4 linked regions of the Lonchura striata genome follow. The protein of the gene in region 1 purifies or fractionates together with the protein of each later gene. This does not show direct contact. Links are inferred from orthologs where the notes say so. Each region holds a gene or a part of one and is shown in the gene's direction. Other genes may lie near its edges.

Evidence for each region.
Region 2: the proteins of MMS19 (region 1) and RTEL1 purify together in Homo sapiens (affinity purification with western blotting; 4 studies listed by BioGRID and IntAct, with this or other methods). This does not show direct contact. The link is inferred for Lonchura striata from reciprocal best matches to the Homo sapiens genes MMS19 and RTEL1.
Region 3: the proteins of MMS19 (region 1) and DNA2 purify together in Homo sapiens (affinity purification with mass spectrometry; 3 studies listed by BioGRID and IntAct, counting the BioPlex papers as one, with this or other methods). This does not show direct contact. The link is inferred for Lonchura striata from reciprocal best matches to the Homo sapiens genes MMS19 and DNA2.
Region 4: the proteins of MMS19 (region 1) and BRIP1 purify together in Homo sapiens (affinity purification with western blotting; 3 studies listed by BioGRID and IntAct, with this or other methods). This does not show direct contact. The link is inferred for Lonchura striata from reciprocal best matches to the Homo sapiens genes MMS19 and BRIP1.

Annotation. Positions count from the first base shown.
Region 1 is NC_134609.1:18,894,980-18,902,648, forward strand, and holds the start of MMS19 (MMS19 nucleotide excision repair protein homolog), read left to right. Parts: upstream 1-4,625; 5' UTR 4,626-4,646; coding exon 4,647-4,761; intron 4,762-7,669. Other genes in the region: UBTD1 (ubiquitin domain-containing protein 1), read right to left, coding at 1-218, 446-673, 4,397-4,466. UniProt on the Homo sapiens protein: Key component of the cytosolic iron-sulfur protein assembly (CIA) complex, a multiprotein complex that mediates the incorporation of iron-sulfur cluster into apoproteins specifically involved in DNA metabolism and genomic integrity.
Region 2 is NC_134619.1:7,176,073-7,183,883, reverse strand, and holds the start of RTEL1 (regulator of telomere elongation helicase 1), read left to right. Parts: upstream 1-4,634; 5' UTR 4,635-4,681; intron 4,682-5,765; 5' UTR 5,766-5,784; coding exon 5,785-5,886; intron 5,887-7,334; coding exon 7,335-7,533; intron 7,534-7,811. Other genes in the region: STMN3 (stathmin-3), read right to left, coding at 470-488. UniProt on the Homo sapiens protein: A probable ATP-dependent DNA helicase implicated in telomere-length regulation, DNA repair and the maintenance of genomic stability. Acts as an anti-recombinase to counteract toxic recombination and limit crossover during meiosis.
Region 3 is NC_134609.1:35,120,179-35,127,932, forward strand, and holds the start of DNA2 (DNA replication ATP-dependent helicase/nuclease DNA2), read left to right. Parts: upstream 1-4,732; 5' UTR 4,733-4,806; coding exon 4,807-4,817; intron 4,818-5,754; coding exon 5,755-5,934; intron 5,935-6,322; coding exon 6,323-6,506; intron 6,507-7,754. Other genes in the region: SLC25A16 (solute carrier family 25 member 16), read left to right, coding at 105-173, 1,732-1,888. UniProt on the Homo sapiens protein: Key enzyme involved in DNA replication and DNA repair in nucleus and mitochondrion.
Region 4 is NC_134622.1:9,361,885-9,369,185, forward strand, and holds the start of BRIP1 (Fanconi anemia group J protein), read left to right. Parts: upstream 1-3,944; 5' UTR 3,945-4,070; intron 4,071-5,045; 5' UTR 5,046-5,080; coding exon 5,081-5,173; intron 5,174-5,732; coding exon 5,733-5,844; intron 5,845-6,218; coding exon 6,219-6,413; intron 6,414-6,676; coding exon 6,677-6,804; intron 6,805-7,301. Other genes in the region: INTS2 (integrator complex subunit 2), read left to right, coding at 251-358, 953-1,058, 1,221-1,397, 2,181-2,350. UniProt on the Homo sapiens protein: DNA-dependent ATPase and 5'-3' DNA helicase required for the maintenance of chromosomal stability. Acts late in the Fanconi anemia pathway, after FANCD2 ubiquitination.

The DNA of each region.
Region 1 (7,669 bases):
CCCGATGGTGTCACTCATGCTGGCGCTGAGCCGCAGGTCCTTGCCGGTGGAGAGGCGCACCTTGAGGGTGAACTCCCGCCGGGCATTGGGCAGAGGCTCCGCCGGCTCCACCGCCTCCTCCTCGCTCCGCTCCAGGATCAGGTTGACGGGGGGTGCAAGGCAGTAGACGGGCAGCTGGTACCGGTTGCCCAGCTCATCATAGCACTCCGTCAGGGACCCTGGGGACAGCAGGATAAGATGCTAAGGGTGGGCATCCCCATGGACCACTCAAATGGGGACAGGGCCACCTCAAGCAGTATGGCACAGCCTGCCTTACTCCCCCTGGCTGGACTGAGCTCTGGATAGCAGGTGGGAGCCCCTTTCTACTCCAGCCTGAGACCCCCATGTGCCCAGATACGGGGCACTCAGCACACATCCCATGCAAACCCCCAGTGCTGACCCTCACCATGGGGCAGGGTGATGCTGGCTCCATCGAGGATGGCCTGGGCCAGGCTGTGGTCATTGGCTTCTACAGCATAGGCAGCTGCCTTCAGGGCATCCCAGATCTCCTTGCGGCCTTCAAAGGCTGGTGCCGTGTCCCAGAACTCGTCCCGCTTGCTGCGCAGCTGCCCGTCTGTCATGGGGTAGTCACTCTTCCACTTGGGACACTCCTTCTTCAGGGGCTCATTGCGCCCTGCAGAGGGGGGATATTCAGCCAAAGGACAGGGTTTTCCCTCAGGTCCTGAACCTCCCACCTCCCCATAACCACAGGTTCTTCCTGGGAATCTCCCGCACCCCAGCAAGGGTCTGAGGGATCACCCTGTCCAGTGAACAACAGCCCCCAGTGTAGCCAGGGGTAACGGGGCTAAAGCAAGCCTGGCCCAAGATCCCACTGGCCCCACAGCAGTTGTTCCCCCAAGTGACACCCTTTGCCCCCAGAGGGGACAAGGGCTCTTGCTTCCTTATTTGTGGGACCAGCCACTGCCCCCTAGGGTGGCCACAGGGCCTCAGGGCCCTTTGAGGCAGAGCAGTATTTATAGCTTGGGGAATTAGCCAGGAAATAAGCTGGTGAGTCGGAGCGAGAAGGGGATTACAAAGGCTGAGCTGCAGCAAAGGGGGGTCAGGACTTCACTGTCCCCTCTGCCCACCCTGGGATGACAGGGACCAGCTGCAGGCAAGACAGCATCCCAGGCATCAGGGGAACAGAGGGCATCACTGACAGACTGCAGGTGCCCCAGCAACGAGCTGAACTGAACTGGCTCTCCATGAAACAGCTCCTAGCCACATCCCCACAGACCTTCAGCAGCCAGCATTGCCCAGGGGCTTGAGGCACCCCAGTGCCAGTCCCAGAGCATCATGCCCTCACTACGCTGGGCTGTGGCCCTGTGGGAACAGCCCCATCTCATCAGTCCCACAGCCAGGCCGGACACGTGGGGCAGGAAGGAGTTGTCACTCCCAGCTGAGCTGGGGACAATGAATGATAACAGCTCCTTCCTGTCACCCCCCTCCCTGAGCTGGCCCGGCAGCACCCCTCCTGTGGGGACAGGATGAGGGGAAAGTGAGGCTCCAGCTGGGCACAAAGATGCCTGTGCCCACACAGCGACCTGCCAGACAAGGTGATGCCACACACCCCAGGCACCGGAGACAGCCACCACTGCCAGCTGTGGGCTGAGCCAAGGTGCCCAGGCAGCTGCTCCTGAGCAAGTGTGCGGTGACACAGAGCGCTACGTGACCTTTTTGATTGTACCGACCCTGCCTCACCCGACCCAGGACCACTAGAGCCAGCACAGCATCTGCTTCCCAGCAAGCACCCACCTCAGGGTGTGCCCAAGGGGCACAGGTGCTCAGCTACCCCAGGGCTGGGCACCAAGAATCCCTGGCAGGCAGCATCCATCCTGCCCACACCCTGGAGGAGCAAGGGCAGCCGACTGCAGCCAGTGCTGCCGATTCAGCAGTCACGGTGCTGGGCCAGAGGGATTTGCAGCACCACAGGACATGGCAAGGTCAGAGGCAACACCTGCCCCAGGAGGGCAGCGGAGAAGTGTCCACAGCCAGCCTGAAGGACATGTCTGGGATCATGTCCCTACACTGCTATGGCCACCAGGCTGGGGCACACGTTCCCACAGCCAGGACTCCTGGCCAGCACTGCCAGTCAGCACCATTCCCCCAGCTCTGCTTGCAACAAAGGCTGGCCCAGGAAAGGAGCTGTGGGGGTCGGCTGTGGCAGGGACCGGCTGTGGCTGCCTCGTGTGTACAGACATAACCAGCAGCCTTGCCCAGGTAGGCAGGGGCTTAAGCCTAGTCTATTTATTGCTACCGCCCAGCTGGGCCTGCACCTTCTAATCACCTCCTGCTGCTCTATTCCTAGCCCCTTGTGCAACTCTCCACAGCAGCACCACCAGACAGGTCCATCCGCTCTCTGTGCCCGGACTCGAGCCAACAGGATCTGGCTGGCAGCCTGCTGCCTCCTGCCCTGTGCCTGCAGCTCCCTGCCCGTGGCTCAGCACCCTGCAGTGCCCTCGTGAGGGACCCCCGGGCAGAAGGATGTGACCCAAAGGCTTCCCTGCCCTGGGCCTGCTCCCTGCCTGCAGGAGCCTTAGGCAGCCTCAGATGACAGGTCCTGGAGGCCCCAGAGAAGATGTCAGCCAGAAGGCACACACCACTGCTTCCAGCAGTGCTGGCTGGTCCACTCCCGAGTCAGGCAGGGTTGGGATGCTGCGTGCCACGGGCATGCCCAGCTCCTGCTGTGGTAAGCTGGCCACCCTGGGGACAATGCTGTCACCTGCTTCTGGGAGTCATCAAAGGACCCCTCCACAGGGGGTCACAACAAGCCCCAGCCAGAGCAGGAGCTGGCCAGGGAGGTGGGATGCTTAGCAGAGTCCTTGAGGCAGCAGAGGTGGGCAGGCAGAGCCCCCATCCCTGCTGATGGTAGGTCCTTGTGTACTGGGACCTGCTGGCCCAGGGCACTGTCCCCATACTGCTGGTAAGAGCAGCTGTAGCCTTGCTTCACCCCCACCACTTGCTGAGCAGCTCCCATGGGCTGGTGGAACCATGCAAACAAAGGTAGGAAGCAGCCAGGGCACCTGGCACAAGGGACAGCCTTGCTCTGCCAGGAAGGGACATACTGGAAGAAAGCAGCAGCAGTGACTGACAGCGGTATATCAGGGAGGGACCACGACCCATCCCAGGAGAGCAAGTGGGGATGGAGTCACAGGCTCTGCAGCCAGCTGTTGCCTGGCACGAGAGGGGATCACACAGATCCAGATGTTGGGATCTCACCCCATCCCCCATCACATCCTGATGCTACAAGGCAATGGCCCCACATTCCACCAAGCTGAGGGAACAGCCAGCCAGGAGCCCCAGGCCTCACCCATACCCGCAAGAAGGCACTGCTGGGGGACAAAGCGTGTCGGGGTGGGGGGGGCCATCACCCCAGTACATCCCAGCAGGGCATCCCCGGGGCAGGCTGGCACACCTGGAGCCCCACGCGGCGGGGGCGGCTGCCCACGGCACGGGCACAGCCCGGCCCAGCAGCCTCGGCACCCTGCACGTGCTGCCGGAGTGGCGGGCAGCGTCCCACGGAAAACGCCCTTCCCTCCCGCATGCCAGCTGCAGGCGAGGGCCGGGGCGTCCCGTCCCGGGCACACGCTTCCTGCCCCTCCTCTCCGCCGCCCACTACCGCTCTGCCATAAACACGGTAATTACCGGCTGCGACGGCACCGGCCGGGGAGGCGGCAAAGGAAAGGCGTGATTCATCCTACCAGCCCACGGCTTCTCCGCCGAAAGTCCACCGTACCCATCCCCGCGGCCTCCGGGACCCTCCGGCACGGCATCACGGGGAAGCGCCTCACGGCACCCGGGTGTTCGGTAACTCCGGGGGCCGCGAGGCTGCACCGGCCCCGCCGGCGCTCCCAGACCGGCGCGGCCGCTCCCCGCCCCACCCGCGGCTCCCGAAGCCCCCGCCGGCAGCAGCCGGGAGAACGGGACAGCACGGACCGCGGGCAGGCAGGACCCGCCGCGCCGCGCGGGGGACGCTGCCGAGCCCAGACCGGGGCAGCCGCCACCCTGCCGTCCTCCCAGGACGGCACTTCCCGGGAGGAGCCGGGAACAGGCAGGGCTCGGCTGGACCCGCTGCGCACCCCAGCCCTGACCCCGCAAAGCCTCCGGGGCGCCGGGACGGGAGCCGCGGTTCCCGTCCGCTCCCGAGGCCCCGCACCGAACCGGGATCCCCGGGGTCCGAAACCCCGAGGGCACAGAGCGGCTCCCGGGGTTGTGCGAGGGAGAAGTTGTCCCGTGGCGAGCTGCACCTCTCCGGTGCCCACGTTCCCCCGGCACCACCCCCAGGGGGACACCGGACCCCCCTCCGCCCCAGTGCCCGCGATCGCGGGGGCGCCCAGCCCGCAGGACCCCCGCTCACCTGCTCGCTTGCGGGTGTTGCCGCCGGCGGCGGGCCGCTCCCGGCGCTGCCGCCCCACGCAGCCGCCCATGGCGGGGCCGACCGGCGGCGCTCGGCATCGGGGCCGCGCCGGCTCCGCGCTGCGCCCGCCCGTGCGCGCGGGGCCCGCTGTGCGCGCGGGGCCGCCCCGCCCCCGGGCGCACGTGACCGCCGGCACCGCCCCCGCGCACGCGCAGGCGGGGGGCGGGGCGCGGCCCTGCGCGCGGGTGTCATGGCGGCGGCCGGGCCCGGGCCCGGGGCCGGGGCGGAGGCTCAGGCTCTCGCCGCCTCCGTCCGGGACTTCGTGTCCGGGCAGCAGGACGGCCGTGCCGCGGAGGTGGCGGCAGGTACCGCGCGGGGGCGGGGCGGGACTGGGCGTGGGCACGGCAGCGGAGCCGGGCAGGGCCTGGGGCGGGCGTGGGCACGGGCGGGTCGTGGCGGTGTGGGGAGGGGTTTGTGAGGGAGCGTGGGGCTGGGCTGGCCGGGCAGGGTGTGGGGACGCGGGACGGAGCGTGTCTGCGGGTTGTGAGGCTGCCGTGCGGGGCAGGGCACGTGGGATTGGGTAGGGCAGGGCCTGCAGCTCGGAGCTGCCAAGGAGGTGTGCGGTGGGTGAGGGGCTCCAGGAGCGAGGCAGGTGTGGCTGGCAGAGAAATGACTGTGGGACGATAGCTCATGGCCTTGCTGAGGGACCGTAGGAGGTGGCAGTTGCAGACTACCCTCACTGTGGTTTCTCCCCCTTTCCTAGCAGGACTTGAGGCGTTTGCTTTGGTCGGATAATTTATCCTCCTCCTTCGAACAGCAGTTGGGTGACTTTGTTGCATTAGGGAAGTTACAGCTTCAGGACTGTGACTTTCTAAGGATAAGGTGATATTTTTGTGTGTGTAGGCAGTGGCTTCAGCATGTTTTGGGAAGGAGCTCTGAGAGCCGAGAAGGGCTGTCTGTGTATGTTACATTACACACACGGGTGGCTTCTAGGTCTTTCCCAAGGCATGGTGGTTTGTGAACTGCTATGTGGTGTCTTGGTGATGAGATGAGCTGGCAAAACAGAAAGGTAACCCAGTGGCCCATGTAACACAGAGTGAAGAAATTGCCAAGGAAATTTGTAGAAATTCATTAAACTACATGATATTCAACATGTTGCAGAAGAGTTACACAGTCTCCAACATATTTGGGATATACGTGGGGAAGGATAACCTTACAACTGTTGTTATCACCTGATGTCATGTTACAGAAGTGCCTGGAGAAAGCTTTGTCTCTTGGAAGACATACAAAGAGAATTCCTCCCCACTTGCTTCTCCCAGCTTTTTTCAGCCATGTGGCTCTTTTGACAAAGCCACCTTCACAAACAGTGGGGCTGGCAAGTGTCCTTGAGCCCTTCTGACCTTGTACAGAACCACACATCAGAAAGGATTAAATTGCTTTGTGTATCCTTGAGCAAAAGGATAGGGAGGTCTTTCCTAAGCTCATGGCCATTGTGCAATTGCTGTAACAAACACATTGAGCTTCACCGGTTTGTTGCTAAGGACTAAAATGAGCGTAACTTGGCAAGTGGCAGAAAAGCCTTGGTGCTGTCACATGCAGGTTGGGCTGCATGGGTCACTGGCTGGCAGGAAGAGGCTGATTTCATCTTTCTTAAAAAATGGGGAGAGAAGGATACTGCTGCTACAGAATCCATTACACATTCCCTGTGAATGTTGTGCTTACATTTTGAAGGTATGGGAGAAACAAGAATGGAAGTCCTCCAGAAGCAACTAATACCTAGAAGGACACTGAAAGGGGGAGAGACCTTTCAGGAGAGAGAGCAGGTTGGTTCAGAGTAGCAATCCAGCACAGGGTGAATGGCTTGTTTCTGTTAAGTCTCTGGGAGCTACAGGAATGCCAGAATAGCAAGTCAGCCCCTCTTGGTAAAGGGATTCAGGGTGCCTAATTAACCTTGGGGCATATGTGCTGCTGCCAGATGTGGAGGTAGCAGTTTCAGGGGCTCACCACTGTGCCTGCCGTGCTGATGAGGCAGGTCCAATTAGCTGTGCTCACGCTGTGGCCTGTGCACGAGCACAGCACACTCACAGGCTGTGTCAGGGAGGGGTGGCCACACCATGTGAGGCAAAGCTGGTCACACCTGGTCCCTGAGAACAGAGGGAGCTCCCTTGCTGAGCAAAGGAGCTGCTGACCTCGGGGTGTATCAGTACCTGACTGTGGTTTGGCCATCACACGGTAGCTCTTTCTGTTGAGTAGGGAGCCAGAAGCTTTGTGTAGAGCTGCTTTCAGTCTCTGCAGACACAGAGAGGCAGAGCACCTGGCCACAGAGATGGCATTTGTGTCAGATTTTTTCTCTGATGGTGCAGAGGCACAAGGGCTCTTCATGAGCTTGCAGAGCAAGATGTTGGGATGCTGGATGTGGAGGAGCCATCTAAGCTCTCTCTGCAGCCCACTCTGCTTTGGCTTGTGCAAAGCATTTCCTTGCTGTTTCACTGTTGTTTTTCTGCAGGAAATTTTGCCAGCATGTCATGGCTGTCTCTGAGGGTGCCCCCTTTTCAGTCTGTGCCCGTCAATTCTGAGACCTGCTGGGTTCTTTATCCACACAGCTCCCCTTATCTGTTCTGTTTCTCAGCTCAGGCTCCTTTTCCCTGCTGCTCCAGGCAGAATTGAAAGCTCTGTCTCTGGAGTCAAGACTGCCTGCTGTCAGAACACACTGTCAGAAAACGCTGTCATCTTGTCCCTAGAGACAGCCCTATGATGAACAGTGTGTCTTAATGGTGGAATTAACTGCTTAGGAAGAGACAGTAAAGGCTTGCAACAGCAGGAGACACTAGCAGGAACAAGGCCTGGGAAAGCCCATAATGAAACCTTCTGAGAGGGTAAGTTCCCTGTCAGTTGTGCAGGTTCAGCAGGGCAGAGAGGTGAGCAGGTCCCTCCAGAGTGCCCAAAAGTATCCCTGGGCAAAGACAGTGAGTCTTAGTGACTGCCAGGTGATTTGGGTTTTTTTCTGGAGGAATGCTGTTTTGTCCAGGCAGAAAGTGAGGGGTGCTGCTTGTTTTCCAGCAATGTCACTTGACACCTGAGCTGCAGGTTAGGGGTCTGAAAGTAAGGCAGTTCCTTGCCTGCCACCCTATGTCTGAGCAGAGGATGTACACAGAGCTTTCCTTCTGGGGAGGTGCCACAGTGGCAATGGGTGGCAGGAGTGGAGAACCTGCCGTTCTGCCAAGGTTCTTGTACAGTGCAGCAAGTCCTTAGCAAAGCCTCCTGAGGAGTGAC
Region 2 (7,811 bases), on another chromosome or scaffold:
GCAACACATGATCTTCACAAAACAAAATGTAATTTCTGATTTCCTTGCATCCAGCTGCACTGTATGCAATTTTTTCTCGGGGGAAAAAAAAAAAAAACTCTACTATGTTACAAAAATAAGATTTAATTGGCACGTAGCAGCATCTTCTAATGGCACAATGAAATGTCAGCAATACTTTAAATTGGCAAGTTTATTACACGTGTATTCATATTAAAATAAAAAGCCCACCTGCTATCTTGCATCAGAGGGGTGTGTGTATGGGGGAGGAAGGGGAACAATGCTGCCATACCAGCTGCCTCCTCAGCACAGAACTCCCCCGAAACCCACGGAGGGGAAAAAAAAAAAAAAAAAAAAGCAGCAAAAACCAATCCAAACCTTCAGAATAATGATAAAAAAAAAAAAATAGAATAAAACTTGATGGTTTTAGAAGCGCATTGATGTCAAGCCCCCGAGAAGCCGCCTGTCCTACCTGAGACGGTGCTGGCCATGCTGCGGCGGGAGCGGAGCGGTGCTGCAGGAGCAGGAGGGAGCGCAGGAGCTGCGGAGGTGCTGCAATGCTGCGGGGAGGGAGGACTGACTCAGCTGGAGGGGGCTGCAGCCATCCGCGGCGGGGAGAGGCTGGAGCGCCCAGAGAAAGGCGAGGGGTGGAAAGAAAAAGAAGGGTCACTAGTTCAGAATATTAATGAGCGTATCAGGCCTCCTTTCCTGGGAGGCTTTGACGGCAGATCCCTCCCAGGCAAGCCTGCCTGCCAGGAACACAGCCCCACGGCGGGGGGGGGCGAGACACACCCAGCCGGGCGCGGGCAAAAGAGGATTTTTTTCCTCCTCTTCCTCCCTTTCTTGTCTGTTCGAGATGGGCTAAACTGTTTTTTTCCCTTGCTGAAAACAGAATTAAGATTTTTTTTTTTTTTTTTTTTCAAACCAGCCATTCCAAGGCAGCCTCACCTGCAGGGCCAGGTCGGGGGTCTGGCTTGACTGGGCTGAGGTGTGAAGCCCAAACTCCAAACCTTGCAGCAGCTTTAGGCAAACAGCAAAGGGAGGAGGGATCCCAGCAGGTTTTTAGGCATGGGATTAGTTGGTTTTTTTTTTGTTTTGTTTTTTTTTGTTTTTTTTTTTTGCACCAGCACTGAGGCACTAAAAGAGCTGCAGTTTGGGGAGGAAACTGCTGTAAAAGTAAAGGAGAAAGAGCAAAATTGAGCTTTTCAATTTCAGTGAGAATTCTCTGGGTTTCTCCTCCACCCTAAGCACCAGGACCTCTTTTCTTATAATTTTCTGTCTGTTCTTTATAATTTCTATCATTTCCATTTGTGGCTATTGCCAGGGGCCAATGCTTCTGTGCTTTTAGAGCAACACACACACACTTGGGAGCAAGGAATCCTCCCAAACCCACACATCTCCTGGCACGCTGCAATGCAGACACTCCCAAACAATTCCAGCTGCTGCAGAGAACCACAGGTTGTTGGAATACCTGCCAGCGCTCTGGCTTGCTCAGGGGCAGAAGCCACAGACACTGCCTACTAAATTCAGTCTGAAAGATTAGAGATTTTTCTACTTTCCTATTTTTTTCCCCAGTCAGTGCCCTAACACTGTCATGGGAAAAAAAAAAAAAAAAAAAAAGAAAAATAGAGAAAATGTCTAACTCATAAAAAAATTAACACTATCCACACGTTTTCCATGTGTTTGCAACGGGACTTTTTTTAATGACCTTTAACTGCTCCCTGTTTTGTCCAAGCCTTTTTTTGTAGTTCCAACTCTCTCTACTTTCCCCTTGGATTGAATCTCCAGGACTTGACAGGTTATCTTGTGTGTGTTTCAAAAACACCTTTGCCATGATCAGACGAAGGCAGCCATCCCAGGCACCTGGCTGGTGGAGTGACTTCCCCCTTCTGTTCAGGATGAACTCTGGCTTTGATATTCCCAGCAGTCCCAAGAGGGTCTGACTACCTCTTGCAACATTCTGGATCTTTTGGCATCAATCCAGCACACATTGTATTAATTTTATTGAGGAAAGGGTGTGGAATGATTTAAAGGTGCCATGGCTATGTGTCCCACTGGAATACACTGTGAGAGAAGTGGGGAGCAAATGATTTGGAGGGTCAAGGTGGAAAGCTGTGTTGTTACTTCCCAACAGTAAATGGACTGCAATGCTCTGGACTATCAGGATTAAAAGAAATCAGATAATTTGAGGGGCAAACAAAAACTCAGAAAGACAACAAATGGCAAGTCAATCCTCCTCGATCTGAAAAGAGGTAAATAACCTTCATGCCAACCACAGGAGTTTCACAGATGGCCCTCGTTGCTCTTTTGTCCCATTCTTGAAGATTCCTGCTCCTCTGGCAGCATCTGGATCTCATCTGGAAAGAGATCCTGCCTGGGCAGCCTCTGAACAAACACGGCCATTATTCACTTTGCACTTCTGCACATGATCAGTGTTCCCCTTGCTGGGGTCTCTGGTGTGGTTCAGCCTCTCCCCACAGAGGTAAAGGACCATCTTTCACAAGGTTTTTATTTTGTACATTCGTTTCTTTTTCTCGAAAATGAAAAATAGTGTATCCAAGACCTTAAAACCCAGGAATGAGTGAGAAGTGGAGATGGGGTGGTTCCTCCTGGCTGGGCTGGCAGGGACAGGCTGGGCTGGCACACAACTCTTTGTGGTGCTTGGACAGAGTTTTCAAATCTCTCCTTCCTCTCCAAAACTCTACTTTGTAAGAACTCAGGGTCTATCTAGGCAGACAAACACCAAGATGGCAATCCAGTGTGAGACCAACACCTTTATTTATCATGTCTTTATCCCAACAGATGCTGCAGCTTCACTAAACCTCCACAACAAAGAATACATTTTTCTCTGTAAGCTTACAACCATTTCCTGTGTTCTGTTTTCAGAAGGCCAGCAGTGCTGGAGGCAGCCTGCAGCCCTGGTCAGGTGAGGTCACTGGTGCAGAGGAGCAGCCTCCAGGAGCTGCTGATGCATGTTTGCTGCTGGACACGGGCACCTGCTGACTCACAGCCCACTCCTGCCTCGGGCTGCTCACCTCCAGCTCCCCTCTCTCAGCAGGCGACACTGCTTCTACCAGCAGCACTGCAACAAGGCAAAATATTCTCCTTTGATACACTTCTGATATTGTTCTTCCACGTGGGAAAGATGTGTTTACAGGAAATAACGATAACAGAGTATTCCATGTATTTCTGAGGAGTTTTAAATAATTTTTTCTCCCCTAAGGTTATCCCACATTCTCATTTCACCATCTTGACAAAATGATCTCTTTTGCAGCTTCATCATGTGTGACTGGTATCACAGTGAAGAGTTCAGTCAGAAACATGAGCAAAACCAGCTGTTAAATTTTGTGTGGAGCACACAAAGTTCCACAGGAATAACTCAATTTTCCAGCTCATTCCCTGCAATTCAAGACAGCTTATGATCCAGGGAAGTTCAGCTGAAGGAATTTAAAGGCTGGCCACCAAAACAGCAACACCCATGAGCTCCCCTGACCCAACACCATGACACAGGAGGTACCACGAGTTTGGGAGCAGAACAAACCACACAATGTTTAACTTATATAGTTTAAGGTTTGCTCCTTTTAACATCAGAACCCTTCTACACACAAACAAGCTGTGCAGCTGGTCAGGAGTAAAGCATTTAAAAGGTACAATAAAAGAAGCCACATCCTGTTCTACATCTATGCAGTGACAGCATGAGACACGGCAATAAACCACAGAGATGAGTACCAAGTATTTTCTTCCTGCCTTCTTTCTCATATAGCTGCATAAAACACAGTTTTACAAAATTTGGGGATACAAGTAAGCCATGCCTATACATTTATTAAAACCAGATTCTTACAAAATTGGGTAATCCATCAATCCAGAGCAGTTCACCACAGCCACACGGCCTCAGCACCTGGAATGTGCCGACAAACCCTGGATGTGCCTGGATGCACTGGCAGGGGACTGAAGGGTGGGAGCAGAAAAGCCGGGAACAAAGGAGCGGCACATTCACCCCTAACAAAAGAGACCCGTCAGAATTCATTACCGCTCCTAAGGCAGGAGCTCAGCACAGAGGCACAGATCCCTCCCACCTCAAACGCCGCGGGTTCCACAAAGAGCCCCGCCGTGTCCTGCCCTGTGCTGCGTGCCCGGGGAAGCGGAGCCCGGGGAGCGGAGCCCGGGGAGCGGAGGCCGGTACAAAGCGCAGCAGGGCCCGGCACACGGGCTCTGCCCGGGGGCACCGAGCATCGCTCGCTCCCGAGCCGCCCAAAAGGGGACACACGCCGGGCCCGGGTGGCCCCGGCGCAGGGCTGGGAGGCTTCGGGAACGCGGCTTTTCGCCAGCGAGCAGCCGATATTCCGCCCCTCCGCGGCCGAAGCTCGGCCTCCGCCCCCGGGGGAAGCGGCTGCGGAACCGGCCGGCTGAACCACAGGGAGCGGAACCGGCTTCCTGCAGACCTGGCGGCGCTCAACCCCCAGCGGGCCTGCGCCGCTCCCGCCCGGGCCCCGCTGGCTCCCCGACACCAAGGCCCGGGCTCCGCCGGGCTCCCGGGCCGGGCCCGCCATGGCCGCCGCCGTTACCGGGGCAACGCCGCCGCTCCCGCGAGAGCGCGCGCAGGAAGTGACGCGCGGGACGCGTGAGGGGACACGTGAGGGGACACGTGACAGCGGCGCGGGGATTCCGAACGGCGCGGCGGGAGGTGAGGGAGCGCCGCGACACCGGGACAGAGGACGGGGGGACACCGGGACAGGGGACACCGGGACACCGGGACACGGGACAGGGGACACGGGGACACCGGGATACGGGGACACCGGGACAGGGGGACACCGGGACTCGGGGACACCGGGACAGGGGACAGGGGGACACCGGGACTCGGGGACACCGGGACAGGGGACAGGGGGACACCGGGACACGGGGTCACCGGGACACCGGGACACGGGACAGGGGACACGGGGACACCGGGATACGGGGACAGGGGACAGGGGGACACCGGGACTCGGGGACACCGGGACTCGGGGACACCGGGACAGGGGACAGGGGGACACCGGGACAGGGGACGGGGGGACACCGGGATACGGGGACACCGGGATACGGGAACACCGGGACAGGGGACGGGGACAGAGAGACAGGGGGACAGGGGGACACGAGGACACCGGGACACGGGGACAGAGGGACACCGGGAAACCCGGAGCTCAGGGGTCTGGGACCCCGGGAACGCGGGGTCACAGCGATAGAGCACACGGGGACACGGTAGCCCCGGAGCTCAGGGATGTGGGACCGCGGGCCGGAACGGGCGGTCCCGAGTGCCCGTGTCCCTGTCACAGTGTCCCCATGTCCCTGTCACAGTGTCCCCATGTCCCTGTCGCTGTGTCCCCGTGTCCCTGTCGCTGTGTCCCCGTGTCGCTGTAGCGGCCCGGAGCGGTGTGACCGAGCCGCTCCCTGCCGTGCCTGGAGCGGCCCGCAGCGAAGCTTTACACGGGCCCGGGGTGCCAGGACAAGGGGAGCGGCTGCAGCCCGGCTGAGGGCAGGGGTAGGTGCGGTATTGGGAAGAAATTCTTCCCTCTGAGGAGGGTGACAGCCCTGGCACAGGGCGCCCAGAGAAGCTGTGGCTGCCCCATCCCGAGTGTCCAGGTTGGACGGGGCTTGGAGCAGCCTGGCGCAGTGGAAGGCATCCCTGCCCACAGCAGGGGTTGAATGAGGTGAACTGCCAGGTCTCTTCCAGCCTTATCATGGCACGGTATCACCAGGACAGCAGGGTCAGCATGGTCTGCCCTTCCTTGCAGGCAGCTCAGGGAAGGAGCCATGCCCAGGATCACTCTGAACGGGATCACGGTGGATTTCCCCTTCCAGCCCTACCCATGCCAGGAAGCCTACATGGCCAAGGTGCTGGAATGCCTGCAAAAGGTGAGCGAGTGTCCAACTGTGTGTCATTGCTAACTGCACTAAATGGTTTCTCTAAGAAGAGGTTGTCATAATTCAAGTTTTCTTTACGTGCTTTGTATGCTTCCTTTCCAAATCTTCTCTGACCTTTTACTTGTATTTTTATTTTACTCTGTGGTAATGAAAATCATGGCTGGCAGGTGGCAGTCAGTAGAAATATAGATGGGATGTTCCTGCCTAAACTGGGAAAAGGAAGAAAGACTGCTTGTATTCATGCAGTCTGTTCTTGACAGATTACAGAATCATGAATGGTTTGGGTTGGAAGGGACATTAAAGCTCACCTTGTTCCACCCCCTCCCATAGGCAGGGACTCCTTCCACCATCCCAGGCTGCTCCAAACCCCCTCCAACCTGGCCTCGGACACTTCCAGGGATGGAGAAGCCACAGCTTCTCTGGACAGCCTGTGTCAGGCTCTCTCCACCCTTACAGTGAAGAATTTCTTCCTATTCTCCAATATAAACCTACTCTCTGTCAGTAGGACTCCATTCTTCCTTGTCCTGTTACTACAGGTCCTTGTAAATTCTTGTAGCCCCCTTCAGAAACTGGAAGACCCCCGTTAGGTCACCTTGGAGCCTTCTGTTCTCCAGGCTGAACAATCCCAATTGTCTCAGTGTTTCCTCATAGGAAGAATTTGGTCTTATCTTGTTAATATTTGGACTATTTATATAATTTTCCATTTTCTGTGCGAGAGGATAATTTTAATGAATGAATGTCAAAATAATAAAATGGTTTTTTCGCAGTAGTTATCTTTTTTTTTTCCTGGACACATCTTCATGGTCCCTGTTCTGAGGGACCAAGCAAGCTTATTGTGGGAACTGTGGCTTTCCACCTGGCTCTGCTGTGGATCACGGTATCTGCTTGGTGCCTCCTCTCATCAAACTCAAAGTGTTGTGAGCTCATGATAGAAATTCCTTTCACACTCTTGAGCTCAGCTGCTGCTTTTTTCCAATTTTTAGTATTGTCACACACTTAAAAATTATAACATCCTGTAGGTCGAGGTGTTCCAAGTGCTGACAAAGTTCTGTGCCTAAACTGCCATGGGATACAACCTTAATCCTAAAGGAAACCAGCACTCTGTTAACTGGGAGCCACTTTCTGGGCTGGTTTTTCAATAACTTCTCATATTTTCATTTAATTCAGTATTTTATAATGAAACATGATACACTCGAATGGCTCTAAGAGTGGAGAATTGAATTCCTATGCTAAATAAATCCGTTGGCTGGTTCTGGGTGTTTGATTGAACCTCATTAAATTAATTAGAGGGTCCTACAAGTTGATTAGACCTTGTTGTGTGGGTGTTCCTTGGTGGGGCTGCCAGCTGGTGTTTGCTCCTTGGCAGAGGACATGCAGTGCTGCACTAAGACCTGTCCTGCTGAAGCCTTAAATCCCTTTCTTATTTCTCTCCAACACAGAAGGTAAATGGCATTTTGGAGAGCCCCACAGGCACAGGGAAGACCCTGTGCCTGCTGTGTTCCACCCTGGCCTGGCGGGAGCACTTCAAGGACACCATCTCAGCCCGGAAAATCGCGCAGCGCATGAACGGGGTGGAGCTCTTTCCTGACAGACCACTGTCCTCCTGGGGCACTGCTGCCACAGATGGAGATGTCCCAAGTGAGTACCACCACCTCTGCACTCAGGGGTGGTAGTCAACACGTGCTTTTATCTGTCTTTTATAATAAATATATCTGTCTTTTATAATAAATGTACAATTATACAAGTTACAGAGCTGTTGTTGAGCAGCTGAAGCACAGTTTCACTGTTTTATACATTTTCAAGGTGTTTTACCTAGTTTGAATTTTTCTGGGAGCTCATTTAGTTCTTTAGTTTCTTAGAAAAATCATTTAGCTCATTTTATGTATGTGAATAGTTAGATGACAGCATTTCCTGCT
Region 3 (7,754 bases), about 16 Mb from region 1:
GAGAGCTGGGAGTTTGCACGGACTTCTTTGTATTCTTGTTTAGACAACATTGCAACAGTTGTCACACATCTGCTGGAGCTGCTCTTTCAATGTCTTCTGTGTAGATATCCCCTGGATGTAACTCGGAGGCGAATGCAGTTAGGAGCAGTTCTCCCAGACTCTGAAAAGTGCCTGTAAGTATTTCCTTTTCATCTGTACTGAGTTTTTGGATGTCTGAGCTAAGTTCAGTTCTTAATTTTAAACTTTAAAAGAAAGCAACTACCATAAGAAAACAACTACCCCTACCCCCTGAACTACTGTGCTGTTGATTTTTTCATTCTTTTAATAAAGATGTTTCCCCGCAGACAAAAGCTACCATTTTCAACCTGGGATTAAAAAAATACCTGAAATAATATGGCACCCTTGTTAGTAATCCTGTATCTCTACTAGTAAAATAGTTTTTTGTATTTTAAGGCAACTTGTACTACCTTTAATACCAGCAAGATCTTTAAAAAGAGACTGAATGCTTCTACTGAAATTTACTAATTTCAGAGTGTATTTTAATGGTGCAGATTCTGTTCCTTGAGATCATTTTGCATAATACAATTTTATTTGAGCTTTTTTTTGCACTTACAGTAGTCTCCCACACCCTACACATTGTTGAGGTTCCTCCACTAGAAGTGGAAGCACCATAATAACTTAAAAATCCTAATAGTATTAAATCAGGTCTCATCTTGAGAAACTTTCTGAATTTCAAATTGTCTCAATCAATTTCAATTCTTGGACAGCTTTCTCTTGGTTAGTTTCCATCTTGTGGAATTGTGTGTGCCTGAATCCAATGCAGTTCACTGTGAACCTCCTGTGTGGAAGGTTGGATCCTACCGAGAGCAGCCTGAGTGACCTTTCACAAACAACCTTGATATTGCTTAACTGTGAAGTGTGAAGGTTCTGTTCTGTTTTCTTTACTAGCTTTTTTTTTTTTTTTTTGGTTGTGTTATTTTCCACTCCTGATGATTTTAAAAGAAAAATGTGTTCATTGTTCTTTTTACTTTTCGCATTTGTGAGGACTGCTTTTACAGACCTGAGGCTTCCCCATTTAACAATTTTGATGTGACCATATAGAGGGATGTGCTCTGAAGGAGAGACACAGGCCTGTCTTTAGAGGATGAGAGGATAAAGCAAGCAGGAAGTGTCAAAGCTTTGGAACATATGGAAGATGCTCTCCAAGAGCACTGTCTTCAATAGCATGGAAATACCAAGCACTTCAAGTGCTTTCTATTTCATATCTTCTTGGTTTCAATACAAGTATGTGAAGAAAGTTCTCTTTGCACATACAGTTCAATTTCTGCTTTTAAAAAGGTAAAATACTATATACTCAGGTTATTAATTGTAAATGGAATTTATGCTTTTCTGCTCTTTTCCTGCCAGTTAGGCAAGACAGTGTGTGGAGCTGTTCTGGTGTAAAATACTGTAATATGTCTTGTAGGGCAGGTGTTTTCAGGCCAACACTATTTTAGCTGGGACTGCACCATCCTCTTTCCAATTCCCAGTCCTTGGGCCCAAATTTGTTGCAGAAGTCCAGGTTGTCTTTTTAGTCAGATGTGGCTTTTTAGTCATACGTGGCTTTGCTGTGTGGAATGCCATGGGTTTTTCTGCATGGATCTCTTAAAACCCAAGTAAAAAGTATCTTATATTTAAAGAACATGATTTTGATACTGAAGATGTGTATCCACAAATGATTTCTTTTTCTAGTACCATGGTGCAGACACTGAAATATGTGTATCAACAACACGGAGTACGAAGAGGACTGTACCGTGGGCTATCCTTGAATTACATTCGCTGTATTCCTTCCCAGGCCGTGGCTTTCACCACTTACGAACTTATGAAACAATTCTTGCACCTCAACTGATTCTTTCTTTTAGAAGACTTTTCTGTAAAACTACACTATCAATCCTCAAATGATATTGATGAATAAATGACTTGAAGTTTAAAAAAAAAAAGCTTTCTGTTACTGTGGACCTGCTGTTGTCTGACATCTTTATTTGCCAAAATGTGGTTAGTTTCCTGGAGTCCAAACCAGGTGACACATTAAAATAAACATTAGCTAGATCTAAACACTTTTTTTTGTACTTGATCTTTTAGGCTTCATTAGATGAATATTAGGAATGACACAGTTTTGGAGGTGACACCCACGTTTTATACAGGTTCCAAGCTGTTATTATTTAGCTGTAGCACCATTCCAGGAGTTAGATGCTGCTGATTATGCTGCTTTTGAAGCTAGTAATTAGGCATGTTGTTCTTTAAAAATTAAATGGAATAAACTGATTTGAACATAATGCAATGATTTTGGCATTCAGATTCTTGCTAGGTCTGTAGAAGCTGAACTTGGCAGAGCACACTTTAAGCAGCCTTTTATTCTTGCTCTGTACAAATTTTCCATATGCAAGAACAGATTGCTGCCCAGGAAAGTATCTTCAGCCATTTCAGCTAGAACCAGCAAGATGTATTTAGCAGTATTAGCTATCTTGCAATTTGGAAACCAGTTCCTTGGGGTACATTCTATTCTAAGAAAATGCTGTACTACACAAATAAAAGCAGGGGGATTTTACAGGGATGAGTGCTAGAAAAGATGTCCTTGTGGCAGGTAGGGCCTAATCTTAGAGAACTTTTCTGTGGAGCTGCATGTCTTGGTTTGCTTTGTTCAAGGCTGAGTATGTTATGTACTTCCCAGTACTAGCTGGTGTAAACTACCTTAAACCATGGTGCCAAAGAAGACTGCATGTTGCTGTTTAGGCATATAGACCACATGCAACCTCACACAGAAAAGAAAATTAAGATTGTATTGGCTCCGTAGGTATGTGTATGTACTGTTCCTGAAGTCATGGTATGCAGTAGATTATTGCATGTTTGCCTCCTCCTGTAATTCCTTTTCTGGAAGGAATTATTTTATACATGATTTGCATTGGTACTCTTGATTTTACTCACTTGATTCAGGAAACTATAAAACATTTACTTCATGTAAGTTATTTATTTATTGTACATATTTTAGTGTCTTCTAAGAATTGGCAAGGGTTATATTAAGTGGTGGATGGTAAGACTGATTTGCTTAATTTTGACAAATTTAACAAACTGGATTTTCAGTTGTTTGTTCAGTACCAACTTATGTGGCTCAATTTTCCCCCCAGTTTCTTTAAAGTATGTATTTATTTGAAATTTACAGTATAGCAATGAATACAGAGAACGAAATGTATCAGGATATATTTTATTAAAATTTTTGAACTAATATCTTTGTGTGATTTGTGTGTGTTGCAGCCAGGAGGGATACATGTTTCTGGAATGATCTGTTTGCCCTAATAGGCACAGCATTGTAATTCTCAATTAAGTGACAACAAATATGCTTTTTCATCTGATCTTTAGTTTCACATAAAGGAAAGCTAGCCAATATCACAGTGAACTTTTACATTTTAAAGTTCTTGCAGTAGAGATAAATCCACTGTATTAGGAAAACTAAAGTGTCTTTCTTTTTTCTACATTGTTTTGCTATGTGAGCAGATAAGCCACTTGTTTTTCATGTGTATACTGTTAGGGACTATTAAGTTAAGAGTTTTACATCTTAATTCTACTACCAGGGATGTATTTGAGGCATGTCATGATAAGTTAAGCAGTTTTAAGGCAGAATAAAGCAGAACCCAGCATGTTTATGCCTGAGAGGAAGAGAACATAAAAAGTATCTCCTAAATTCTTGTGTCTGGTATTGAATGTGAAAAACATACCTACTTGATGGAACTGTGCTGTATTTTCAGAATTAGGTTTTTCAAAATAAAATTTAACAGTGTATGAAAGTATTTTAATATTGATTCCTGAATTTACAGTTATATGTGGAGAATGCTGATGGATCTTTAAACGGCAAACATTTTTCACAATCTCTGATTTCAGAACACTTGTGTCCAACTTTCTCCCTAGAGACTCCCCAGACTGATTGCATGGCAGATAACTTCAAAAAAGATATTTCAAGCATATTTTGTACTTCATAAACCTGTTCTGTTGAAATATGTATTTTCTGGTGTATGGGAGATAGATAGGCAGCATCCAAGACTACAGTACAAAGGTTTAGCAAGTGTTCAAAACATTTATATAATCTCAATATCACGCCACATCATGACTGCATTTAATATTATCAACAAGGAACTAATAAGTTATAATTAAGCTTCTGTTAGAGAATAATGTTGCAGTGGGAAGCAGCATTAATGTAATTTACTGCATATATTTCAGGACTATCCCAAATAAAACTGAAACGGCTAACCTAAGAATGTTCTCACCTTTTAAAATTCGTCAATTTGAACTCGATTCTTCTGTTGGGATGTCTAGCCATGGGCCAAAGCTGTCATTTCTGCAGCAGAGTGAAACCTGTGTATCCGAAACGTCAGTGCCACCTCAGAAAGCCAGAGACCACACCTTTCTGAGGGGAAAGGCTGGACTCTCGGGCTCAGATTGGCCCATAAGTGAATTGGGAGCGGAAGGCACGTCTAATATGGCCCTGTGCCACCGCACCAGTGGCGGCAGTGGGGCCGGGTGCGCCTCAGCGCCCTCAGCGCCCTCAGCGCCGCTTCGCGCCTCCGGCTCGCGCGCGTGGGAACCGCCCCCTCCGCCGCCTCCCATTGGCCGCGCGGGGCGCGCCGGGCGGGGCTGGCGGAGCGCGCGGCGGCGCTGCGGGGGCGCTGGGTGCGCTGAGTGCGGGCCGGGCCGAGCCGGGCCGAGCCGAGCCGAACCGAGCCGAACCGAGCCGGGCCAGGCCGGACCGAGCCGAGCGCCGCACGGGACCTGCCCATGGCCGAGCGGTAGTGGCAGAATGCGGGGAGCCACAGCGGGGCGGAGACGGCCGGGAGCGCGGGGTTTGAACTTGCAAACCGCTCCCGGCTCCGGGCGCGGGAAGGCGGGATGGGGTCTGAGGCCTTCCTCGGCCTGGGGAGCGCTCGGGGCTGCCGGGATAGCGGGTGAGGGGGAGCCGCCGGGATGGATGGTGAGCGGGAGCCGCCGGGATGGATGGTGAGTTGGAGCCGCCGGGATGGATGGTGAGTTGGAGCCGCCGGGATGGATGGTGAGTTGGAGCCGGCGGGATGGATGGTGAGTTGGAGCCGGCGGGATGGATGGTGAGGGGGAGCCGCCGGGATGGATGGTGGGCGGGAGCCGCCGGGATGGATGGTGAGTTGGAGCCGCCGGGATGGATGGTGAGGGGGAGCCGCGCTGCCTCGGGTGTTCGCGCTGGGCACGGCGCCGCGGGGCCCTGGCGTTCGCTGTGCCCCGATCGCTCCCCAGGCATCACTCGGGACAGGAGAGCGCTGGTTTGGCCGCTCTGTCTCATGGTTTGGCTATTGGAAACTTAACCTTCAGTATGAGTTTTCTAAACAACTCAAGGTCATGGGTAAAACGTACCGCTCCGTGCTCGAGGTGTTTGTGTGGCTGTGGGAATTCATGCGCGCAGGGAGATAAAAGCTTTCTCACAAGCACAGTGTTTGCAGTACAGTTATAATTAGTTTACTAGTGCTTATGGATATGTGGACCCAAAAATGTAATAAATAGCAAACTGCTTAATATTTATAGAGATTTCTTACTCTTTACCTGTACAGAACTGAAAAAAAAAAAACCCAAACAAAATATTTATAAAAATTGAAGGGGAGTAAAATTTGGTTTATGGTTGAAGCTATCTCTCTTTTTGTATGTAGGTCGGCTATTTTCAAAGAGTACAGTATTCTTTGTAATTAGGTGTTCCTTCAGTTTTCAGAAGAAAGTGTCTGACCTACCTCATACGATCCTGAAGAATGGGCTGAACAACAGATACCGAGTGCTGGAGGTCAGCGTAATACAGAGAAATGGAAGTGACCCTGAGAAACACTTGACAATTACAGCCTCCCCCTCACTGGAAGATACAGAACTGTGCATCCTTAGGAGTGGCTGGTAATCCACACAGATACATAGATGTTTGAAAAGAGAATGAAATATTGGATTATTAACTAAATTTTGTTTGTGTTGTCTGTGAGTTGAGTTTTACGGCCTTAAAAGTGATATGGGATCCTGAAAGAACCTTTGTTTAATGTGATATTATCAGTATGCTAGCATAATGGATATCATCTTGAGAGGCCTGATGTTGAGTAGGCATTGCTACCTTGCAGTTTTGTCATTGTAAAAATGCCTTTATTCACTTTCAGGATTTCTTTAAGTCAACTTCTTAAAAGAACCCAACCCAGCATTTCAAAGAATGTTGAATCTGCTCTGTTAATGTGTAAGAAAATACGTTGTGTCTGTTATTTGCAAACATTGGTTGTATGGGTGTATTGCCTTGCAGGGAGTCTGTCCCGGTGGTTCCAGGGGACATTGTTCATTTGGAAGGGGAGTGCAGCTCTGGCACCTGGGTCATCAGTGCCCAGAGTGGATACCTGGTCCTGTACCCAGACCTGCTGCTCTCGGGCACCACCATCTCCAGCAGTATCCGCTGCATGAGGAGGGCAGTGCTGAGTGAGCGCTTCAGGGTGAGTGCTGATTCCACACTGCCAGTGATTTACTGTTCCACTCACACCGGTGGCCTAGCCCAGTGTTAAATCTGGCTGTTAGAAATGTCCTAATTAGCAATTCATAATGTTTGCAACATAGAATAATTTAGGGTGGAAGCTGTCTTTGGTTGAACTTCTCTTGTTTTTTTGAGACTTGCATCTGAAATAATGCAGTACTCTTAAAACGGCTACTGGTCTAAAGAACTGGGCTTTCCACTTATAATTCTGATAATTTTTTTTATAATCTCTTGCTGCATTTTGTGTGGATATGAATCCTTTGTGAGGGATTTGCCTGTTGCCATCCATAAGAAAATATAACCACACTTTGCCAAATTAACAGCTTCTGAAAAATTTAGTTAATTCAGTTAATTGGTGTGGGCTGACTCTGGAGTCTGAATTCAGCTGCTTGATCTTGGAAAGAGGCAAAGTGTCTTGTAGTATCCTTGCTGATACATGTGAAATATGCTGATAAATAGGGAAGCAACAGCTGCCAGTTTCAGCTGATGAAAACTTCCAGACATGGTAGGAATATAAATCCAAATGAATAAGGAAATTTTAATAGAGTGGTAAACAGCCTGGCTGGGAACCTGTGACTGGAACAAGAAAATTAAGTACAGGAGATTAAGACTATGAAATGGTCTTCAACCTTCTATTAGAGGAGTAAGGGGGATAAAATGATTGTTGAGTCAATGCACAGGGTCCTGACTGGGATAACACCATCCACTTGTTGTGAGTGAAGTTCACTGGTCTGTAAGAGATCCATAATACCACAGTGTTTAGGTTTTCAGCTATTTGGTAGTGACTTTCAGTTTTTGTGAGTCTCCAGAGCCCAGCCCTTCTGATGGGTTTCTGAGCCATGTTGGTGATACATGGAATGATTTTGCTGTGAGCTGGTAACAGACAGGAAACTGCTTCGTGCAAGAAATCTGTGTAAGATTGTAAAGATTGTGTTTGCATTAGGAAACGCCTGCAGGCAAAACTTTCTCAAAGTTTTGTTTTAATCTGTGCCTTTGTTTCTCACCTGCCAATCACATAGAGATTGCATCCCGACATTGTCAGGGTTGGGATAGGAGACCCACTTCAGTTCAGCTGCTCTCACAGGCAGGTTTGGCTAGATAACCATTAGTGAGGTGAAAGCTGTCATGATCTTATAGTTAAATAAGTGTAGGTCTTGATGTGCAGCAAATATTGCAGAGAAATTTGGCAGAGAAGTTGGCATGAAATGGG
Region 4 (7,301 bases), on another chromosome or scaffold:
AGGTCACTGCAGTCTGCTTTTCTTTGAATATTGATCTGAAGAAATGATCCAAACCCTGGGTTTGTACCCAGTCTGCCTCTTGTTGCCTTGGCATTACAGGCCTGCTGCAAACTCTGGACAAAAGGGAGTTATAAATATATTAATTTTGAAACAAAGCATTAACGCAGTGTACTTTAAAATCTTAGTTGAAGCAGAATTTTTAAAACACACCTGTGACACATTGGCACCCCTCTTTCCTTAACTCCCACAGGGTTATCCATGTGAACTTCTGGCACTGACAGTGGCTGGGATCCCATCCATGCACATCTGTCTGGATTTCATTCCTGAGCTCATTGCCCAGCCTGAACTGGAAAAACAGGTACTGAGCATTCCCCTGGCTGGGGAATCACTGGTTACTAACCCTGAGTAAATGCTGGCTGAGGGGGGAGAATAAATAGACACTAAAAACATCCTGTTCTAGCTTGCATGGGATATTCAGGGAATATTTGTAGCACTTCTACATTAAATTAAAGCCTGGCATTGAAGGCAACTGTAATTTGTTGGAATAAAGATTCCCTGTTTCTGTATCAAACCAACTTTGTAGTTGTTCTTATTTAATCCTTTCTGGTATTAAGTTACTGCTGATCAGCTAAGATTAAAACTAGAATGGATCAGACCTAAATATCTTCTGCAAGGCTTGTGTTGCACATTGTGTGTTGCTTTATTGCTCATCATTAATGTTGGAGCAAGAGTCTCGGGGAGATTTTGAAACACTTGGATGAATATTAAATATGTGTGGGTTATTTTTCTTCATACCAGCAGAAAAATAATCATAATAGCTCTTGTTAAGGCTTCAATTGGCTTCCTTCATGGTAAAGCAGGGAATATTAACTTACTGTTAAGTGTGGTGAAGAGCTTTGGATAGAAGTTGTAAACCATGCTGTAACTTCATTGCTTTTCTCTCCTTTGGCAGATCTTTGCCATCCAGTTGCTCTCCTACCTGTGTATCCAGTATGCCCTGCCCAAATCCCTCAGCGTGGCTCGTTTGGCCATCAATGTGATGGGGACCCTGCTCACAGGTACCACCCCAGGCACCCCAAAATCCACTGCTGGGGGAGCCAGGAGGGTTTCTCTAGGCTGAATGCAGTTTTGTCTGTCTAATTGCTATTGTAAAAGTAACAGTTTTTGATTGGATTTTATAATAATCAATTTTTACTTCTGCATTTCCTCCTCCTTGGCAGTTCTGACCCAGTCCAAGCGTTACACGTTTTTCATGCCCACCCTGCCCTGCCTGGTGTCCTTCTGCCAAGCCTTTCCCCCCCTCTATGAGGACATCATGTCCCTGCTGATCCAAATTGGACAAGTTTGTGCCTCTGATGTTGCTACACAGACTCGAGACTTCGACCCCATCATCACCCGTAAGTCAAGGACTTAGCACCCCAAAGGGGTCAGGCACAGGGAAATGAAACAGAAATGTTATGGCCTTGTGGTCATTTACTTAATTACTTACTTAATTTACTTAATTATTTACACAAATGTCGTGGTATTGTGATACTTTACTTGTAGGGAGTTTTGGAAGGAATTTGAGATGGGACTTTTGAATTTGTTTTGATGATGTGGTTCATTTTTTTAATATTTTATACAGGTAAGAAGGGTGAGTTCAGTTTATATCATTATAGTTTGATTTAGAAGGTCACAAGACCTTTCTTTTTAAGGAGTTATTGATTAATAAAATATTGTTAATAAGGATATTTACGTTTTTGACTCAATCTTTAAGTGTTTCGTCTTATGGACTTTAGCTAATTATGTTATGATACATAAACTTAACAGTACTGCATTTTAAACTTCTTGTTTGCTTCTGTAACTACTTTTATTTTTTCTATATTTTAAACTTTAAAACTTTGAACTTTTTTTTTACTTAGTTTAACGTGGTTTTGCTGTAAACTATAAATAAATATTCTTGCTACTAGTATTTAAGTTTGGAAGCTTTTTCTAAAGTTTCACATCAAATCTTGTGTTTAATACTAGACTTTAGCTTACAAGCCTGAAGTTCTAAGAGTATTTCAGATTCTGACATGGTGTTTCTGGAAATAACCTTGGTGGAGCATGGGATGGTGCTGCCTCAGCTTTGCAATCTCATATTTATGGCTGGAAATAACAATTCTCAGTATTTATTTTGCCTCTCCTGCTGCATTTTCTAGGTCTCCAGCAGCTGAAGGAGAAGCCACACGATTTCTCAGGGCTCTGTAAAGATTTCTCCAGCAAAAGCTGCTCCAGGGACACTGCAAGCCTGGACCCCGACGTTCAGCTGTGCCAGTGTGTGGAAAACACCATCATCGAAATCATTAACATGAGTGTCAGCGGAATTTAGGAAAAAAAAACTCCAGGAAAGTTGTCCTGTAGCTTTTCCCTCTCTTCATGGTGCCTAAATTTGGAAAAAGCTGTGAAAGTGGACTGAGGAGCTGGAGCAAAGTCCACATTTTTCATTCATTGAATCAGTCACAGCTGAGAAGAAAATCCCTTCAACAGGATTATGTGAGAACTTCTGAGGCTGAAGGGATCAGTAAATAATTTCAAAAAAAAAATTGTGATTTTCAGGCTTGCTCAGCTCCTGGAGTGGCACAGCAACACACCTGAAAGGGTTTTGTAACACTGCAAAGTGAATATTTATTTTGTGGGGCAAACAGCAAAATGATAAGTGAGAAAAATTGGATATTGAAGTTTGAGGTGAATGAGCTGCTGCTCCAGGGCCTTGCAGAGCAAGTTGGAATAAAGTGCTCCAAGCAATACTTGAAAAAGTGGTGTCAAAACTTGTACCATCATACTGAGTTTTCAGAAAATTAGAAGATTTATTTGTGTGTCAAACCATGGCTCAAAGCTTCAGTTCATGAAATCAGGAACTTCATTCAAAGATCAACCAGGCTTCACTGAGAGTTTGAAACTGGTCTAAAAGTTTCTTAAAAAAAAAAAAAGTGCTGATAGTAGAAATGAGCCATATAAATGGGATTTTAAAGAACACAGCTCAGATGGTTTTGTGGTTTTTAACTTTAAAAAAAGAGATGAAAAAGACTTGAGGAAATGAGTGCAGAGGTGTTTTGAGCTGTCATCAGGATAAGATTGGAAAGAGAAATGGATGCTGAGGGTGACTGTGCAGGCAGGGAGGGCAGGGACAGCTTTCAGCTGTGCCAAAGTAATTCCAAGGCCAAATCCTTTCTGCTCCATCATGGAGTTGGTTGTTCTTTTGTGTACAGGGCTGGGATTCCCCACATGGAAACGTGGGAAACCCCCGTGGGTTTGTGTTCCAGGGTTCCTGCTGTAACACCCCCGTCGCCATCTGCCTGCCGAGTGTATTTTTGTCATCTTTATGTAAATTATGTAAATAATCTAAATGTATGTATTTTTTTTTTCTCCTCAGTTCCAAGTGTAATTTTATATCCTGTAGTGGTATTTAAATTAAAAAAACCTCAAAAAACAACAACAGTATGACTGAAGTTCAAAGGGGGTGTTCTGTTTTGCTTTTAAATTTCCATGTTCATCCCAAATTTCACCTGAGGGAAACACTTGACAAGAACAGGAGCTGTGTGTGGCAGTAGTGAAAGGACACTTTCCAAACTATTAATTTTTCTGTGGCGTTTTCTGTGCATTCTGCTTAACACAAGGAGGATGATGATGATGATGATGATGATGATAATAAATTCAATTAATATAAAATATTATAAAAATAATAAATATAAAACAAAATAAAAGAATAAGAACTATATTAGCCGTAATGCTAATGATAAAGGCCAATAATAATAATAAATATTTGAGTATTTCTCAAAAAGCGCGGTTGCCTAGCAACGCGTGCCACCCGGAAGCCAACGACGCGCCCTGTGATTGGCTGTCGGCGCGCAGAGGCGAAGGCGGGAGCGCCCCAGTGTGCGCTGTGCCGATTGGCGGCGCGCGGCGCTTTCCTGTCAGCTGATTGGCTGGGGCGGAGGCGGGAAGGACGGAGGCACTGAGGGTCGCAGGTGCGGGGCCGTGAGGGGCGCGGGGGAAGCGGCTGCCGGCGCCTCCGCCTCGCCGAGCGCACAGAGGAAGCGAACGCCCAGGTGCTGCTCTGTGGGCTGGGCTGGGGCGGCCCCACCGCTTCCTAAACGCTCGGGCAGCGAAGCGGCTCTGCCCGGTTCGAGATGTCGCTGCGGGGAGTGCCTGGTGGCTCTGGTCACAGCACGAAGGGTCCCTGCGGTGTCCCGGGCCTCCCTCCTCCTCAGGGGCAAACTTCGTGGGGAGTTCTGCTCGTTTAAGCGAGCCTTCCTCTCAGGATGGGTTAGGGAAAAGCCTTGGAGTGAGGTGGCCTTTCCTTCTGGAAGGAGGGGTTGGATGTAAACTCATGTCAGCCGTCGTTTTTTGCTAGAATTGTTTTTCCTATAGGGTTGCTCGATGGTGAAGCTGAATCGTGCCATACATCTGATGTATATATTTAATTATTAAAAGTCAGATGAGTTAATTTATCCCAGAGAATCTGCCAGTTTAAAGTTGCTGTCTTACTTTGTCAATGTTGAAAAACTATGAGAAAAAAATCCTGCTATGTTGTTCAAAAATATTGTAACTTAAAGCCATTTATGCCTCTTTAGTATTTTTCGTTCAATAATTTCACCTTTTTAACACAGGGAAATTGTCAGTCTTTTATTATTCCAAGATATTCAAGGAAATAAACACAGAATAGTAAATTAAGCGATGCTCCTTTTCTCCTGATTAATTGCTGTATTATTTATGGAAGAAAGTTTTAAGCATCTAATTTTTAAAGTCATTGTCAAGATTTATTTTTCATTATTATAAAATGTGCAAGCTTCTGTATGTTTGTAGTTTATGACATCTTGCAGTTCAAGCTGATGGACCTCTAGAGTTAAAAAACTGGCTGGTTTTAGTTATTTCATATTCTAAAATGCTGTTCCTGCGTGGATTTGGGCTCTATTTCCAGTCTGACTAATGGAATCTGAACTGGTGTGTGCAGCTCATGGTGTTTTTTATTTATTTATTTGCTTGCTAGCATTGAGTTATTAATTCTGTATTTTTAATTGCAGTTTTAAACTTGAAGTAGAGGGGAGAAAAGCTGGCAATGCCTTCTGATGGGGCAGAATATACAATTGGGGGGGTGAAGATCCTCTTCCCCTGCAAGGCTTATCCCTCCCAGCTCGCCATGATGAACGCTGTGAGTAGAGTTTACACTGGCATTTGCCAGACTAAGAGCTTGTGTTTTCCAGTATTTGGAATTCCAGGATCTCTGTCAGCATTTAGAAAGCTGATGCATTAAATTCAGAGCTTGCAGTTGAGAATTTCAGTGGTAACCCCTCAGTGTTCTCTGTGCTGTGCAGTATCTGGGCCATGATTAGGGAATGGGGAGGTACATTTTGGATTTGGGAGCATTTATGCCAAGAAACAAGTTCCATGTGGTGGAAGTATGTGGTTGTTCATCTAGATATGCTGAAATTGCAGCTGTATGCAAATGTTCAAGATTTTAGAGGGGGGGAATACATTGTTTAAATAGAATAATTATGTATAGTAATATTCCAAGAAGTTTTCATTTTTTTGAGGAACTTTTCTAAATGGATTGTTGCATTTATAGTTAAACACTTTTAAAATGTTTTAACCGGGCACAGCTTTAAGATGTGCCAGGGAAAGTTTAGGCTGGACATTAGGGCGTTATTGCTAAGATTAGCTAACATCTGCTTTGTTTTCTGTTAATTCTGTTTCTTTTATGCTCCTTAAAGATTGTTAAAGGCTTGAATAGCAGGCAGCACTGTTTGCTGGAGAGCCCCACGGGAAGTGGCAAAAGCTTGGCATTACTTTGTTCTGCATTATCATGGCAGCAGGCTTTGTATGGTAAGTGTCTTAGTACCTGCACAACTTTTATTACAAAATATAAAAGAATTTTTTTTTTTCTTCAGCCTTTAAACATTTAGTTTCAGGTCTGGGTCCACCACCTTAATGGCAGCATAAAGCAGTAATGCTGAGCTGAGTTTAGATCCCATAAGGGAATGTGGCTGTTGGAACTTTGGAAGAAAATCCTTGTGGGTTGTGTGGATTGAATGGGAAGAGGGAGGTGTTTTCCTTTCTGTGCACTGCAGTTCTTCAGAGGGTGACCACAGCTTGTCCAGCTTGACTGGTACCTGAACTTCATCTTCACTGCTGTGCACCTCTGGCTCTCGTGTCGAGTCTGGAGCGTTTAATGACAGACAAACGACTTTGTCCCCCAGAGAAACCAGTGCCAACCTCATCGTGTGACAAGGAGGACAGGAAGGCAGAGCCGTCCCCACCGTGTCACTGCAAGTGTCACTCCCAGCCCAAGAGCAACGAGGCTTCAGCAAGTGGGACTCACAGTGCTCCTTGTTCTGCCAATTATCCTAATACAGGAACTTCCAGAAAACCTGGAAGCCCACTGACAAACACAGGTAACGTCATCTGTAGGCAGATCAAATTCTGCTGCTTTCAAGCCAGGGATGTTTTTTTACCATCATAATACAGCCATGCTTCTGCCCTATATGAAATCTGTACAGTGGTTAATGTGTCTAGAAATGTCTAACACTGTTTCCTACACCATATACATTTATAGTATTTCTAGCAGTCACTATTCTTTAGAAATTGTATTTTAAAATGTTGCACTTATTTAATGCATCCCTAGTAGTGGATATCCATTTTATTTTATTAATTACAGAATGTAAGGAAAATGAAACACTAGCTTCAAAGCTGTCTGCCAAAAAAAAGTTATCTCTTCATGCCAGTGAGAACGATGATTTTCAAGCAGACAGAAAAAGGATTCGTCCTTTGGAAACAGAGCAGCAGGTGAGCAGAGTCTGTGGGCAGTGAAATAATCCGGGTGTAGCTCAACCAAACTCTCAAATCCAATTAATGGTACAGAGGAGGGTGTGGGAAATAAGTGAATCATATCACAGTCACAGCTTAGAGTGACAGGGTTTTGTTCATTTTTATTGTTACTTCTTACAAAAGAGTCCATTGTTGCAATACATTGTTCATTATACCCTGTCCTAAAATCTTTCACATTTAGACAAGTAATATCCCCAAAATATATTTATTCCCAGTTAATGGTGTTATAATCTTGTAAGTTTTGTAACAGTGAGAAAGCAAAGCAGAAAAGCTCAGCAATAACTACAGATTCTTTTATAATTAAAACTTTATAGCTTTCCTTAATGACTTTTGTGTGGCTTAGACTTGGTTAAAGTGTTGATGCCCAGTTACTAAACCAGACTCAGCTGAAACAAAACCAGGACTGCCAGTGTGAGCACATCCCTCTGCCCAGTGCATTTTTACACTGTTTCTTT